Linked DNA regions of Schizosaccharomyces pombe. The main gene of each other region encodes a partner of the protein of the gene in region 3 in a complex. Each region holds a gene or a part of one and is shown on either strand. Other genes may lie near its edges.

Region 1 (4,253 bases), on a different chromosome or scaffold from region 3:
GTTGAGGAGTTGTAACAGAAATATCGTGCTGAAGGATTACAAAATGAGAAAAACGAGCATCATGGATTTAGATGCTTATTTTTAGTGATTGAATTGTCTATTTTTGTACGAAGGTGTTTCCAAATGCTTTGAAGTTGAAATTCAACAGTACAGCTTTTTAGATTATGAGTTCTCGTTGAGGTTTTAAAGTTATACTTTTTTTTCCAATTATCTACTTATTTATTAGCACTGCTAACAAATACCCATCTGTTTACACCTTCTACTCGATCGTATAAAATTTTAAATGGCTGTTTTACTAACTGTTTATTTTCAATAGATGTGGATTTTTGATGTCACTAATATGAGAAACACATATTTAAAACGTATCCGTGATGATTGGAAGGGTAGTCGTATTTTTATGGGAAAAACTAAGGTCATGGCAAAGGCGTTAGGACACACGCCTGAGGAAGAACATGCCGAGAACGTTAGCAAGCTTACAAAATTGCTTCATGGTGCCGTCGGCTTATTATTCACAAACTCTAAGCCCGATGAAGTTATTGGATACTTTGAATCCTTCGTCCAAAACGACTTTGCTCGCGCTGGCGCTGTTGCTCCTTTTACTCATGTTATTCCTGCTGGTCCTGTTTATTCTCGTGCTGGTCAAATTCCCGTCGAAGATGATATTTTGTTGACCCATACATTAGAGCCACAAGTTCGTCAACTTGGTATGCCTACTGTTTTGAAGAATGGTGTTGTGACGTTGTTAGCTGATTTCCCTCTTTGTACTGAAGGTCAACAACTGGACAGTCGTCAAACACGTTTGCTGAAGTTATTTGGAATCACGGCTGCTGAGTTTAAGGTTGGGCTTTTGGGCTATTATTCAAAGAAAGGTGCTTCTGTTGAGTTTCTTCAATCCGCACCTGGTGCAGACGAAGCCATGGAGTAAAATGTATATTACAGTTAAATGGACACATCGCGTGCACTATTGCATTATCAAAGTTTTTTGCTTTTTATTTTCGGATAAAATAAAATGAAAAGAAGGGTTACTAGATTAGTGAAAGCCCTGTGTTACCGTGCTTGCATAGTTGACGGACTTTGGATTTAAAACAATGGTTTTTTGTTCATGCTCTGATAAATTTACATAGAGATATGTACTCTTTCTTTTCTTTTACTTACTTTTGGGGGATTATTGGTTATTTCTTTTCCATAGCGGATGAAAATATATGAATAATATTTTTATACACTTTAAAATGAGTCATGTAGCACGTTGACATGGTAAAGTTAGTTTGCTAGTTTCACTTTCGCTGTGAAGGCCCTAAAAGTTGATTTCCAAACTCCAATTGTTGCTTTCGTAACGTACGAAAGAATGGAAACAACGAAACTGATTGTTCTTTTGACCGTCGATATGCCGCATTTTGTACTTTAAGGTAAAATCGATATAATTAGTTTTAAATGTTTTAAATTTTATGGAATCATTTTAGTAGCTATCCAAATTATTTCTAAAACTTTTTAAAATGTATAATTCACGTTACACAATTACATTTTAAAATTGTGTCGCGCTTCACACTTCCTTTCCACCAACATTCACAATGACAGCATATGCAGCAATTATAGGAACGAAAGATAATCCCGTTTATGAATTAGAGATGGGGCCTATAAATGAAAAACTAGACAGGGTATGTCACATAATACTATTGATTTAGAACGCTAATATCTGAATTAGTCTTTAAATTCTCATCTTAATCAATTTATCGTTCATTCGAGTTTAGACATTGTGGATCAGCTACAATGGACTAGCAATGCCTTGTACGTTTTGTGATTTCTTTTGTTTCTTGCAGTCATTGCTAATACTCTGTTTTTGTATAGTTATATGAAAACCATCGATCAATTTCACGAAATGTATATATCTGCTTACGTTACGCCATCTAGTAAGTGTTTTGTTCCCTTTAAATATCTGGGGTGACTTTTGGACAACTACTAATGTTCATTATTTTTAGATATGAGGTTTATGCTTCTTCACCAAAACCAAAGTGCTGACAACATTAAACTGTTTTTCCAAGAGCTCCACGAATTATACATCAAAACTCTAATGAGTCCTTTCTATCAACCTAACCAACCTATTCGTTCTCAGGCTTTTGATTTAAAGGTCCGTTCAATTGCTAGAAGGTATCTGTGATGAAAAGGTGTTGGTTGATTTCTTCCTCACGTTCTTTCTCTCCAAAAAGCATTTATCTTTCTCTTGCCTTTTTATTTGTAAGAGTGAGGCATCTACAATGCCTATGCTGGCCGAGGTTGATAATTGTTCAATTTCCACATACATGAGGCATTGAAGAGGAAATGTTTGCAGATATGTATTTTTTTTTCAGTTTTAAATTTTGACTCATTGTGTTTACACTCTGTATACAACATATATATACGTCGTTCTTTAGTTATGTGTACCTCACTTCTTCCTACAATTGATATCCATTTTACATAAACACAAAATAATACTACATCCTTTAAGCAACTGGTCGCGTCAAGCTGCGACCGTTCTTAGTAGTCCGATCCTTACAGAAGCAATTGTCAGACAACTTAAAAAAAAAAAAAAAAAATCCCTATCTACTAGATAAAGAAAGATGTTGGGAATATTAATTTCTAGAAAAACAACATTTTTTAAGCCGAAAAAATAAAGTAGTGAACCGATTGCTCCATTTTAACTTTTTTCTTTACCTAAGAAGTAGAGTTCTTGCTATAACCACATACTTTTTATTTTTTGTTTCATCACATAAAAGTTCCTTTAATATGAATACTACCTTGTGCATCGTTATCCAGCTCGATGATACCTACGTTGTGACCCACAAGCTCACCAGAGCAAAATACAGGTACGCTTGCAAAATTTCACTTTAAATTCTACTGGGGCGTAGATATGGCAAAATCAAGTGAATTTGTAAACGAGGAAAGTTCAGAAGATGAATCTAGCGTTTCTAGCATAGAGGATCAGCATTCGTCGAAAGAACCTGAACAATCCGTGGAGAGCAACAATCACGGCGAATCGAACGCACAAGAAGATGTTGCAGAAATTGCTGGTTTAGAGAAAGTGCAAGGAAAGCCTGTTTTGACCACTAATGACTTGAAAAAGGAGTCCAATGTTTTTTTAGTACGACTTCCGCCTGGCATGTCCGCTGACCAAATAAGTCAGCTAAAGGTAGGCTCCAAACCTACAGTAGAATTAAAGCAGGAGAACGAAAACACCTATCAAATCCGAGAAGAATCAACAAGCTCCGTACGTGTGTTTTTACCTGACGAGCAAGGTTCCTATACGTCAAATGAAATCAAAACTGGATATGTGATTACAGAGACCCCCAAAATTTCACAAAACATTGATACTGGTATTACAATACCTACGCAGGCACCACTTGTTCCTCAAAGAAAGAATCTGAGACAGCATTTTCGCCCGATTGGAGATGCTGTAGGGCCTGAATCGGAACCTGAAGCTGAACCCAAGTCTGGCATCAAAGAACATATTTTACAAGAGACTGGTGATGCTACAGTAGAGGAATTACAAAATAAAGGGAAGGAAAAGCAAAAGGAATTGAAAAAGGGAAAAAGGGAAAAGAAGGATGAGGAAGAAAAACCTAAGAAGAAAAAGCAAAAGAAATCCAGCAAAAAGGAAAAAAATTAGATTGCTTGAATTAGTGTAATATTATCACCTTTTAATAGAATTCTACCTAAGCAATGTTAGCAATTGGTTTGGGAAATTGTTAAATATTTTAGAACAAAAATCTGCATCAACGGTTTGTTTTAGAATTTGTAAGGTTGCTGGAAACGCAATTTGGTAAATCAGCTTAAGACATGCATCTATTATTATTTTTGCTTCATGTAAAGACTTTTGAATAAAATCCCACCGAACATTCTTTCACATAAACCAAGGTTTTATTCGTCTAAAATCAGGCTTACCTAACTCCCTTTTATTATTTTTAGCATCTACTTGCACAGCATCGTCAAGCACAATGTTCATAAATTCGTCGAAGCCCTGTCATATATCGTTAGCAATTCATCAACTTGTCGTAGGGAAAATGAAGGTATTTCAAAATCCTAGGCCAACGACTATGAAGGGATTTTCCATAAAGTAAATTTCTTACCCTAATTTGTCCCTGAAGTCTTATATCTGTTTGTTCAAACAGCCAAATTGAAACAGGAGTATGTTGTTGCAACAATTTGAAAATGAAATTCTGCGTAAGTTAGCTATCCAACAACAATTAACCATACAATAGGAGGTATCATAACTTTTTGCA
Region 2 (4,244 bases), on a different chromosome or scaffold from region 3:
TACGCATTTTCTAATAAAATTCTGCGATAAACTTCTGATATTTCAGCAATCTTTTGTTCAATTTCCTCTGTTTCAAGGACTACCGAATCAAATGACTTTCGAAGTTTTAAATATTTTCGTTTAAAGGATTTAACAGACGCCATATGTGAAAAGGCAGGTGAGAATATATTTCAAATGGTTGAACACCTACCTGCCCATTTGGGCTCTTGAGTGTTACGGTACATAGTACGCTCCATTTCGTTACACATTCATTTCCATATTAGAGAAAAAGAAATAAATAACCGATATACTACTATTCATAAAATGCTGATAAACATTGAAACTCAAACTCTTTAAAAATTCTGAGAAAGGAAGTATCCACAGGTTCAATCGTGATAGACAATGAATTTTCTCTATTTAGTTTGAACCAGGAAAGACAATAATGAATAAAGGAATAAGTTATACCATATTATTTTTTAAACAAAAAGTAACCCCGAAAAATAGAACCAACAAGAACAGAAGAACTGTTATTTTTTTTAACACCTGGATAAAATAGAAGACAAAACAAGAAAATCGGATATCAAGAGCATCTCTTTCTATTTCATGAACGTTGCCGTATTACTAGACAAATAAAATTTATCGAGCATGAAAATAACGGAAGCAGAAGGACAATCGAAGATATTAAAAACAATAGTCTTCATACAAATCAGTCAGCATACATACATGAAGAACGGCGTAAGAAACAGTGAAATATTGAGAAAATCACAACCAAAAGAATGATTAACAGATGAAAACTCAATCTAATTGTTTGTACTAAATTTATAAGCACATCGAGGACATTCGTAAAACACCGTAGAACCTTCATCAGCAGACCTCAATTGCAAAGTATGGAAAGTCATATGGTCGTTTCCACATTTTGGACATTTTTCCTCAATCTACAAAACTTTGTTAGTATGGCAATAAACCCAAAAAAGGACTATGATAAAGTCCTTTGCCTGACTGTGCCGATTTTTCAATTCACTGGATATATGATACAAAAAAGTTCCTTGATTAGACTCTCCTAATGCATTCTTAAAAAAAAAAAAGTTTTCCAAATGATACAAAGCCTAAAAGGAAAGAAGAATGACAACCAACATGAAAAAAAGGATTCGAAAAGAATAGACAAAAATAAGTTACATACCGTTGCTGCCTCCTCCTTCTGAGATTCTACTTGAACGATACTGTGCTTGAGTTTTAAAGCAGAAGGAAAAGCACTTGCACTACTCTTCGTTTCCACTACCAAATTGGCAAATTGCTCAGAAGGATAAACGGATTGACACTGATCACAAGTAGTCCATTGGGCAGTAGTCGATTCCAACAAGTTACCGCATTCTGAGCAAAATATCAAAGACCCTATTGCCGACATTGGGATTCCTCCTTGCTTGATGGGGAAGGCACTGGTGTTTATGACAAGCTAGTTTGTCTTTGACAAGTGCAATTTTCTTTCGCTGTAACTCATTATTTTGCGGTAAGTGATGGAAAAGCGAGTGTATCATTATCGTAAAAGCCAATACACACTGTGAGCGACTATGATCAGTATAGTGCCTTAATTAGTAAACAATAAGCTAGAGATGAGTAAACGAATTTCCTGATCTATTGATGAACATTATGCTAAAGGCATAAATTACAGACATTTAAAAATCATTCGTTTTTGTAAAGAAATTACTTATTGATAAATCAACCTTGGAATTCCAAGTTGGGGAATTTAAAAAGCTTTCTCGGGAAATTTCACCTATATAAGTATTGTATCGTTGTTTCTGGAAAAAATTCGGTAAGAAAAATTTCTTTGTATTTTTTCAAGCATCAACTAATTGTTTGAAGCTATTTCTTGCTACTTTAAAATTTTGTTGCCCAAACGATTTTTGTCTAGCTGGGCAATACTTTGTTCAAATACAAAGCCTGTCACGGAATACAGAACAAGATTTGTGTACATATATACTAGCGACTTTCAAAATCGTTGTACCTTATAAATTGTGCTTTTGATTATTTAACAAATTCTTCCTTATCTCAAAAGAAAATTATTTTGCTTGATTGAATCATCAATTTGGAAATCATATTTTGCACTTTAGGTATTTTAATCGTAATTTATGTGATAAGCTTGGAAATAATAAAAAATATAAGAATAATAAAAATTTAATTTGTCTGTACGTTGCAACTATTACATGTACAACAGAAAAGCGAACAGATAAATAACAAAATGCAAAAAAAATACTACTAAATAAAAGAAAAAACAAATAAATTCAAAAGATATAGCATTAATAAGAAAAGAGATCACCAAAAAAAAAAGAATCATATTCACGATTTCAATAAAAAGGTCTGTGTATTTTCTACAAAGGATTTGGCATTATACTTACTATTATGTGTTTTCCACTACTTGAGCGTTTCAAATCCATTATGGTTTTGAAAGCGCCTTTGTCTATAACCGCCATAACCCAGTCCATCTGTATAGGGCTCGCTTCCGTATTCCTATATTATGCAATGTAAGGTTGATTTTCTATTTTGGTAAAACAGAGATGAATATGGCATGTTTTTACTAGTGAGATTATTGTGCTGTACCCGACGATTGACAACAGTGGGACTTGTTTGCTCTAGTTATTTAGAAGCAAAAATTTTTTTCCTCATATCTCTCTCTCTTTCTGGGGTAGTCCTTTTTGGAAGAGTGCAACGTGACATAGTCTATGGGATTGTAGGCAACAAAAATGTATAGGAAGAGTTATTGTTGCTACATAATGGAAATTACTTAGTGAGTACCATATCTTGTCGGTGAAAATGGATATTTACTTTGCCGATCATTGCGTAGCTCGGTTTTTGCCAAGGAAAGAAACAAGTAAACCAGTTTGGTAAAGAAAAAGGATGATAAAAAAGGTTAGAGATTTTAAGCGTATCTAAATAAAGGTAAGATACTTTAAAAGTACGTTAAAATCTGTGTCTTGTAAAATTTCCATTTGTAGAATTGTTGCATAAGGATGGAGTACCACTGCTTTAGTATAGTTATACGTAACCATGAGTTGGTTGTCTGTAGGACATAGCGAGAAGATTGAAATTGCTATACGTAGTATTTTAGTGTTTTTGGTTAACTTGTTAATAGACGTTTTTTTCTATTCTTTTTTCTCTTTCGTTGCTTAGATGATTAGTGAGTTGTTCATTGCTTTCTTTGAATTTAAAAGGAAAATAAAAGGGTATAACACAGTATTCATCATCATTTACAACATATCCAATCTTGACTGGCATGCATTTTTTCAAAAACTCAAACAGTGCGATTGACTGCTTGTGCATTGTATCCTTTCGTTCAGCAGATTCTGTCCCAATATCAATCAGAAGCATTTCCCTTCTCGTACGGTTGTTGGAGCTTTGAAAGCAAACAAAGCAGTCTTTTGTTCATCATTCACCTATACTTGTGTTTTGCATCTTCATTGTTTATATGCGACAATTTAAACATCCTTTTTTATTTCGTCCAAAACATAACACCGTTCAGTTGGGAATGTCAATAGCTAGCCGTTTACAAGTGTTTTAATGAATACAACACATAATTAGACAGATTAATTGCCCCAAACAATAATTCAAGAATTGCATTGCCTCGTATCGCGGTATCGAAGCTCACTCAGTGGTACCGAGGTTGTTACCTCGATTCGGCTTTTTTTTAAACTGCCTTATCCAATTAGTACAGCTCGACCCACTGTGGAACGACTTCATAATCCGTATAGGACCGGAACTACGCCAAAACTTAAGATCCGTCTATTTACCATTAACCTCTTGTTTGACTCTCTTCTTCTCTTAACCAAATTCATTGTTTTACATTGAATCTTTGCCATAGGGACAGGAACGAAGAATAATTTGCTTTCTATTTCCTCGTATGTAAAAAGACGAGAATTGTTTACTTAAAGTCTCTAACCAGTTGGAAGCAGTAGATTTCTTAAAAAAAAAACGCCTTTGTAGTTTTGAAGAGAAAAGAGCTTGATTTTTCTTTTCTTTTCTTTATTTTGTTATTTACACAATTTCGGATTTTGATTCAAAACGGACATAAGCATTTCTTTCTTATTCCCTTTGTTTGTATATTTTTTTTGTTGGTTGACTTAGAATCATAAACCTCATCCTTTGACGTGTGCTGTTTATCATCAGGTATTGCGAAAATTACAAAATTCATTCATTCTGCTTTGAGTTGTGAGACGGAGGGTCGCATGATTGTGCCTTTTTTGCATATTTAGGTAAGGCCATTACTTTCTTTT
Region 3 (5,992 bases):
CCTTATTCAAAAACTCATTAGGAGAAGAATCCATTATCTTCCAGTTGGTTTAGAGAATTCAGCCTTTGAAGGGTTTTCTGTGAGTCGTAAATTGAAGTAGACACCAACTACATTGGTAACCTCAGTTCAGGGTGCTCTTGCATATAATGAAGAATAGCATTATGTGCAAAAATGTATACCGTGCAAGACTACACTACTTTAATATACACTTCGTTGCGTATCACTATATGTGATATGTTGGAATATCAGTTGAGATCTGGTTATTAATAATTATGGGTAACTATCCGCTAACTAAATAAATTTTATTAAAAACACCCTTTAGAACAATTATAAATAGAGGTACAGCTGAATCTCGTTCCTCAGTTTAGTTAAAGCTATATTAATGATAGGTAACAATAGATCGTACATAAAATATTATATATGTCCTCGGTTGCTACTTGTATTACCTGCTTTTTGCAATATTGCAATATAATAGATCATAAAGCTCATTGCAGTTCTACACATCGTTAAAATTAAATAACAAACTGCGTAGTTAGTATTTATGTGTGTTAAAGTATTGTGACACGTTCTGCTAACACTTTCAAGTTTACTACTTGCATTGAACATTGCTTGTCTTCTCTAAATTATTTGTACATAATAATCCATCCGAGCTTTGTGCTTTACATTAAGAGCAGCTTCACTACTTCTTCTTTTAAAACTTTGCTTCGATGGTTGCTAAACAAGAATCGGTGGTTGCACCTCAAGTTGATGTGTCAAAATGGAGTGGGAAGGAATTGGAGTTGGGCAAAAAGGTTAATGAATACGCCAAGTCATTAGCTACGTTTAAATATCCTTTTTTTATTCCACCTCCCTATCCTCCTGCTAAGCCAAATATGGCCTTGTCTACCCAAGTTAATAAGATGAAGCAAACTGCAAACGAGGCATTTAAACGCAAAAAGTATGAGGAGGCAAAAAAGTTATATGGATTAGCATTACAACTCGCTTTGAATCGCTGTACTTGGGAACCGTCGATTCTTACGCGTGAAGAAGCAAGTGTTATGTTGTGTAATCGGGCGGCTGCTGAGATTGCCCTTTCCCAATTCCCCGAAGCTTTAGCAGATGCAAATGCTGCTTTGAAAATTCGAAATAATTATGGAAAGTGTTATTATAGGAAAGCAAAGGCTTTGGAGGCAATGCATCGCATAGAAGAGGCTAAACAGGTTGTACGAGACGGTTTAATTTTGGCAGAGCCAGTTACGAGAAACGAGTTGGTGGCTTTATGGGCAAGTTATACTGAAAAAGATTAAAACCAACTGTATCATGGTTTCAAATGATCATTGGATTTGCACGCTCCTTTTATTTCCTTTCTTTGTGTTGTTTCATATTACCATAAACACTTACGGCCACATAATTAATCCATTTCAAAATTAATACTAACTTGATATTATTGCCAATTCATTTAATGCTCAGGTGATTGTAGCAATTACTGTATACAAAAGACCATCCCCTAGCACATCATAAATACGGTGGTTTTGAACATGAATCTAAGTTTCGATTGTCATTTGTTACCCTATAGTCAAACAACAATGTTATAACTTTCCAAAGGATTTATTGAGTAAAACGGTAACTTTTTTGCTTGAAAGTTAGTTACCATCTAAGTCACCCTTCTTTGCCTTATAGCAAAAGTATTATACAATGCAAAATTTTATTATTTTCTGTACTTCCACTATAATAAAAAAACACCTTTAATCCCGTATTCCCATAAGAAGTTTCTGAAAATTTGTTGGTACTTTATTTGGATATCTCAATGTCGCTTTGACGTCCAAAACAATTATAAGCAGTGGAGATATCGAACATCACGAACTTCAGTAGTTGTTTCTTCTATATATACCGTCCTTCTTTTTTTTTAAAAAAACACACACACATTTTTTTGAAAATAAACAACGCTGTACTTTTCTCTAATTTCTAGCGCGTCCACGTCGAGGTTTAGGGAACTCTAGGGGAATTTTTAATACTGCACGCTTATGATTTTTAGCATCAGTTTTGTTAAGACCTAAAGCCATTCTTTGAGTTTCGGTGTAAGCCATAATTCGACAACCCACCGTTCTAAAAAGCTCATTAGCCTTCATGGTCTTGACATTCAAGTCATTTGCCAAGGTAAGAACATCAGTTGAGTAATTATCAACGATTAAGCACAATACCAGAATATAACATATGATTTTATCAACTTCTCGAGATGATACTTGGACGCTACCAATACCGGTGGTTTGAGTAAAACGTTTAATCAACCCATCAATAAGAATCTCTGGTGGATCAGCCAATTTTTTACGTAAAGTTTCACGGTTGCCCACAGAACGACGAGAAAACAAAAAAGCTTGCAAAAGAGAAATGTAATACAAAATTCTCGCCCGCTTCTGGTCAACCTCCTCAATGGAAAGTAATCGCTGGAAGCGTTCATTAATAAACAAGGAGTGACGGTACGGCAATAATTTGGCCCAATTGCGCTCGTCAGGGTTTTCTAACAGAGGCTTAATGTAAATAGCTGAAAACTCTTCTTTGGGAATAATGTCCTCCAATTTGTATGCATCTTCAATGGATTCAGCACCGACATTGACAGGAGGAATAGGGCGATCTTGCGCTTGAGCAGCAGCGATATCTTCTTGCGTTGGAAGTGCTTCAGTAGCTTTTTGAACATTACTAACCAATTGATCCTTGACATCTCCCAAAGTTTCAGCTTTGACACGATTGGCGGACTCTTCCATAATAGCTTTTTGACTTTTTCTTGTACCAAATGCCAAACCCAAGTTGGCACGCTGTTCCATAACAGTACCGCTTACAGTTCCATGCTTCTTTTTCAAAAATTTGTCCTTCTCCTGAAGTGCCAAAATATTTCTTTCAAAAGTATTAAGATACTTTGCTGGAACAATCTTTTTTACACGACCAGTTTTATCAGCAACAGCTAAACAGTAATTTGCCTCAACCGTAGCCGTTGATTGATTTTTAGCCTCAAATTGAACACGCTCTGTCCTTCCAATTAACGACGCATCTCTGTTGCTCTGATTGCTCTTTTTGAGAAGCTGGAACCGGGTATTTTCGGGTGGATAAAATCCGGAAATTGTCGTGACAAGTGGTGGTAAACTCGATTCACTCAAAGGCAATATCTTAACGGATTTTTCATCACCGGAATGGGAATCTCTATATTTCCGCTTCTTGCCCTTTAACTCGTCACCTGCCATTCCAATAGTGGATGCTGTTGGTAAAAATGCTAGCGCTTAAAGAGCTTTGCTTGTTTGACGAAGTGTAGTGTACAGTCACAGAGGCTGCGAAATCTAACTTAACGAAGTTTGAGGATCAGTCATTAAATGAAAAGAATTAAAGAAACTGAATATTACAAATCGTAGAGTACACTTTAAAATAAAAAAAAATGATTATTAATTTACTGTAAAGGACTAACAAATTTGTCACTTTGAAAAAGAAGGAGTAAAGGTGACTAAGTAATTCCTAGAACGCAATGAAAACATTACAGCAGAGACATTATTGTCTATAAAAACAAATCAGAAGAGCCATGGGTAGATTATTTCCAGCGGAATAATGAAATAAACATCAAATGAAAAATACATAGCAATACCAAGTATGTGCATAATGCAGAGAAAATGAATTAGGAGACTTTTTAAACTCAATAATCCCTAGAAAAATACCACCCAAATATATTAACGGTCTAAAGTGCAGAAAATTTTTAAACTAGAAACACGAATTTTAGAAGCTGTTAATCATAGGATCTGCGTCTAATTCAGGATGAGTCTCTTCTCCGGATTCATCGCCATTTTTGTTACGAGGATAAAATAAAACGTCTGCAGATACTAATAAGAGAGGTTAGTAAATACTATATTCTGTTTTCAAATTTTGCTTCAGGCTTCAACTTGGACCATTGCAATGTTGCGTACCATGTCGCAGGCTCATTTTCGCTTGAGATCCTTCATTTCCAGCTGGGACGGAACGCCAAACAGCATCGGCCTCCACATAAACACGCGTTCCCTTCCTTAAAATAGTTTGAAGTCTGTCGAAATTGTAACTATCGAAAACATAAACCGAGTGAAAGGTAGGGGCTACGTCTTTTCCATTATTGGAAGCTACAGTATAACGCATATATTCGTTTCCTTTTTGAGACTGCAAACGCTCAACGTCTTTTGTTAAATTGCCAGTCAATGTCAAACGTTGAATATCTCTATAACGAACAGTCGATGAAGAAAACAGTCGTTTGGAAAATGCTCTGCTGGATTTTAAGAATAGCATGTTTTTAGTACCTTGAGCTCACAGGAAAGCAATTAATGGAGTCTTATTGTGTGGTGTTGTGGATGAGTGAAGTGCGCATACGTCGCATATACGAAGCGAAAAGTACTTGGAGAAGTGTGTGAATTGATAAAACCAAAGTTAGGGTAGAATTTGCTTTTAATTAGCTACATAGTAAAGAGTCTGAATATATTTCTACCCAAAATGAGCCATTTCCATGAGGTACTTTAGGTTTCTAATAAGTTTACGATACATTATGCTAGCATTTACAAATCAATGGAAGTAATACGAATTTTCTAATCTATGATCGTATATGATAAAAGTAATATCGGATTCATACTAATTCATACTAACAGTCATTGGATGCATGTTTGGTATATAAGCTGACATAAATTGAGTTTCGTAAATTCTATCATACTAGCATATCTAGGGATAGCAGAGGAAATAAATAATAAAATGCATTCTCTGCTCTTACAAGACGATCATTTAACATATTATAAAGGGGAAACGCATGGGTTCCAATCCGAATGATAATCCTCATCCAAGTTGTAGAGCTTCTCCATATCCTCTTTAGATATTTCGAAATCGAAAACGTCGCCATTCTCTTTGATCCTCCTGGGAGTAGAACTCTTGGGAAGTACAATGAATCCACGCTGTAGACAGTATCTAATCATGATTTGAGCCTCAGACTTGTTATACTTGCTAGCAATGGCGAGAAGTTGCTTGTTGCCAAACTTTTCACCATGAACAAGAGGAGCGTAGGCAGCAAGTTGGATACCCTTGGATTCACAGTAATCGACGACTTTTTGTTGGGAGCAAAAAGGGTGAAGTTCGATTTGATTGACACATGGTATAATCTTTGGATGGCTGTCCAACAATTCCTGGATGTGATGAGGACCAAAGTTGGAAACGCCGATAGCACGAAGTTTTCCCTCTTCAACACCTTTCTCCAACGCCTTCCATGATTCAATACGATCACCATAGGGAGAGTGAAGAAGAAACAGATCAATATAGCCAAGGCCACATGCCTTAACACTGGCATCAATACTGCTCAAAGTAGATTTGTACCCACTTAAATCATTAAGCTTGCTAGTGAACCAAATATCCTCTCGTTTCGTACCAGTCTCTTCCATGAACTTAAGGATGGCTCTTCCACAGTCAGCCTCGTTGTGATACATCTGAGCCGAATCGATGTGTCGATATCCGCATTGAAGGGCAGCATACACCGAATCGAAGCATTTTGTACGATTCACCATGTAAGAACCGTAAGCAAATTGAGGGCACTTAAGTCCATTGTTTAACTTAACAAATGATCCCAACATAATGTATGAACAAAAAAATAAAATTAAATTAAAAGAAAAAAGTCAAAAATTAATGAACGAGGAAATTGATAATTATTCAATTAAGCAATCAACGAGATTCAGCAAAATTGAATATAACCAAGCTGTTTTTCAATGCTATTGAGTATTTTTGAAATATTCAATATTTTCAACTACCAAAGAAAAGAACGTTATAAATTCTTTTCACTAAAATGGTATTGCTAACCCGACATGCGAACAACACAGTACTATTTATACCATGAAAAACTTCTGATATAACATTAATGAGTGGTAATGATAAGCAACATCCCGAAGCACCATCACGTTTTTACCTTACGTACAGCGACATGTAAAGAATGATGTTAACCCAGCTTTTCGTCACAAAAGTTCGTTAAGCTTCGAAT

What was found. The genes of interacting proteins can lie anywhere in the genome.
Region 1: rpa49 (region 3) and rpa34 share a complex: the UniProt entries of both Schizosaccharomyces pombe proteins name them as parts of the RNA polymerase I (Pol I) complex.
Region 2: rpa49 (region 3) and rpa12 share a complex: the UniProt entries of both Schizosaccharomyces pombe proteins name them as parts of the RNA polymerase I (Pol I) complex.

What each region holds. Positions count from the first base shown.
Region 1 is NC_003423.3:1,760,868-1,765,120, forward strand, and holds rpa34 (DNA-directed RNA polymerase I complex subunit Rpa34), read left to right. Parts: upstream 1-2,826; 5' UTR 2,827-2,884; coding exon 2,885-3,640; coding exon of another isoform or gene 3,641-3,686; 3' UTR 3,687-3,753; downstream 3,754-4,253. Other genes in the region: mRNA turnover and ribosome assembly protein Mrt4, read left to right, coding at 317-925; TRAPP complex subunit Trs20, read left to right, coding at 1,569-1,655, 1,703-1,785, 1,846-1,907, 1,977-2,155; Sm snRNP core protein Sme1, read right to left, coding at 3,637-3,686, 3,916-3,991, 4,101-4,190, 4,228-4,253. UniProt on the Schizosaccharomyces pombe protein: DNA-dependent RNA polymerase catalyzes the transcription of DNA into RNA using the four ribonucleoside triphosphates as substrates. Component of RNA polymerase I which synthesizes ribosomal RNA precursors.
Region 2 is NC_003421.2:1,037,273-1,041,516, reverse strand, and holds rpa12 (DNA-directed RNA polymerase complex I TFIIS subunit Rpa12), read right to left. Parts: upstream 1,418-4,244; 5' UTR 1,385-1,417; coding exon 1,160-1,384; exon of another isoform or gene 915-1,159; coding exon 780-914; 3' UTR 501-779; downstream 1-500. Other genes in the region: Ino80 complex subunit Iec3, read right to left, coding at 4-143. UniProt on the Schizosaccharomyces pombe protein: DNA-dependent RNA polymerase catalyzes the transcription of DNA into RNA using the four ribonucleoside triphosphates as substrates. Component of RNA polymerase I which synthesizes ribosomal RNA precursors. Required for growth at higher temperatures.
Region 3 is NC_003424.3:3,924,046-3,930,037, forward strand, and holds rpa49 (DNA-directed RNA polymerase I complex subunit Rpa49), read right to left. Parts: upstream 3,235-5,992; 5' UTR 3,216-3,234; coding exon 1,938-3,215; 3' UTR 1,488-1,937; downstream 1-1,487. Other genes in the region: U6 snRNP-associated protein Lsm6, read right to left, coding at 1-34; sec67 (translocation subcomplex subunit Sec72), read left to right, coding at 708-1,286; single-strand DNA-binding protein Rim1, read right to left, coding at 3,736-3,839, 3,924-4,272; SPOM_SPAC2F3.05C (xylose and arabinose reductase), read right to left, coding at 4,764-5,591. UniProt on the Schizosaccharomyces pombe protein: DNA-dependent RNA polymerase catalyzes the transcription of DNA into RNA using the four ribonucleoside triphosphates as substrates. Component of RNA polymerase I which synthesizes ribosomal RNA precursors.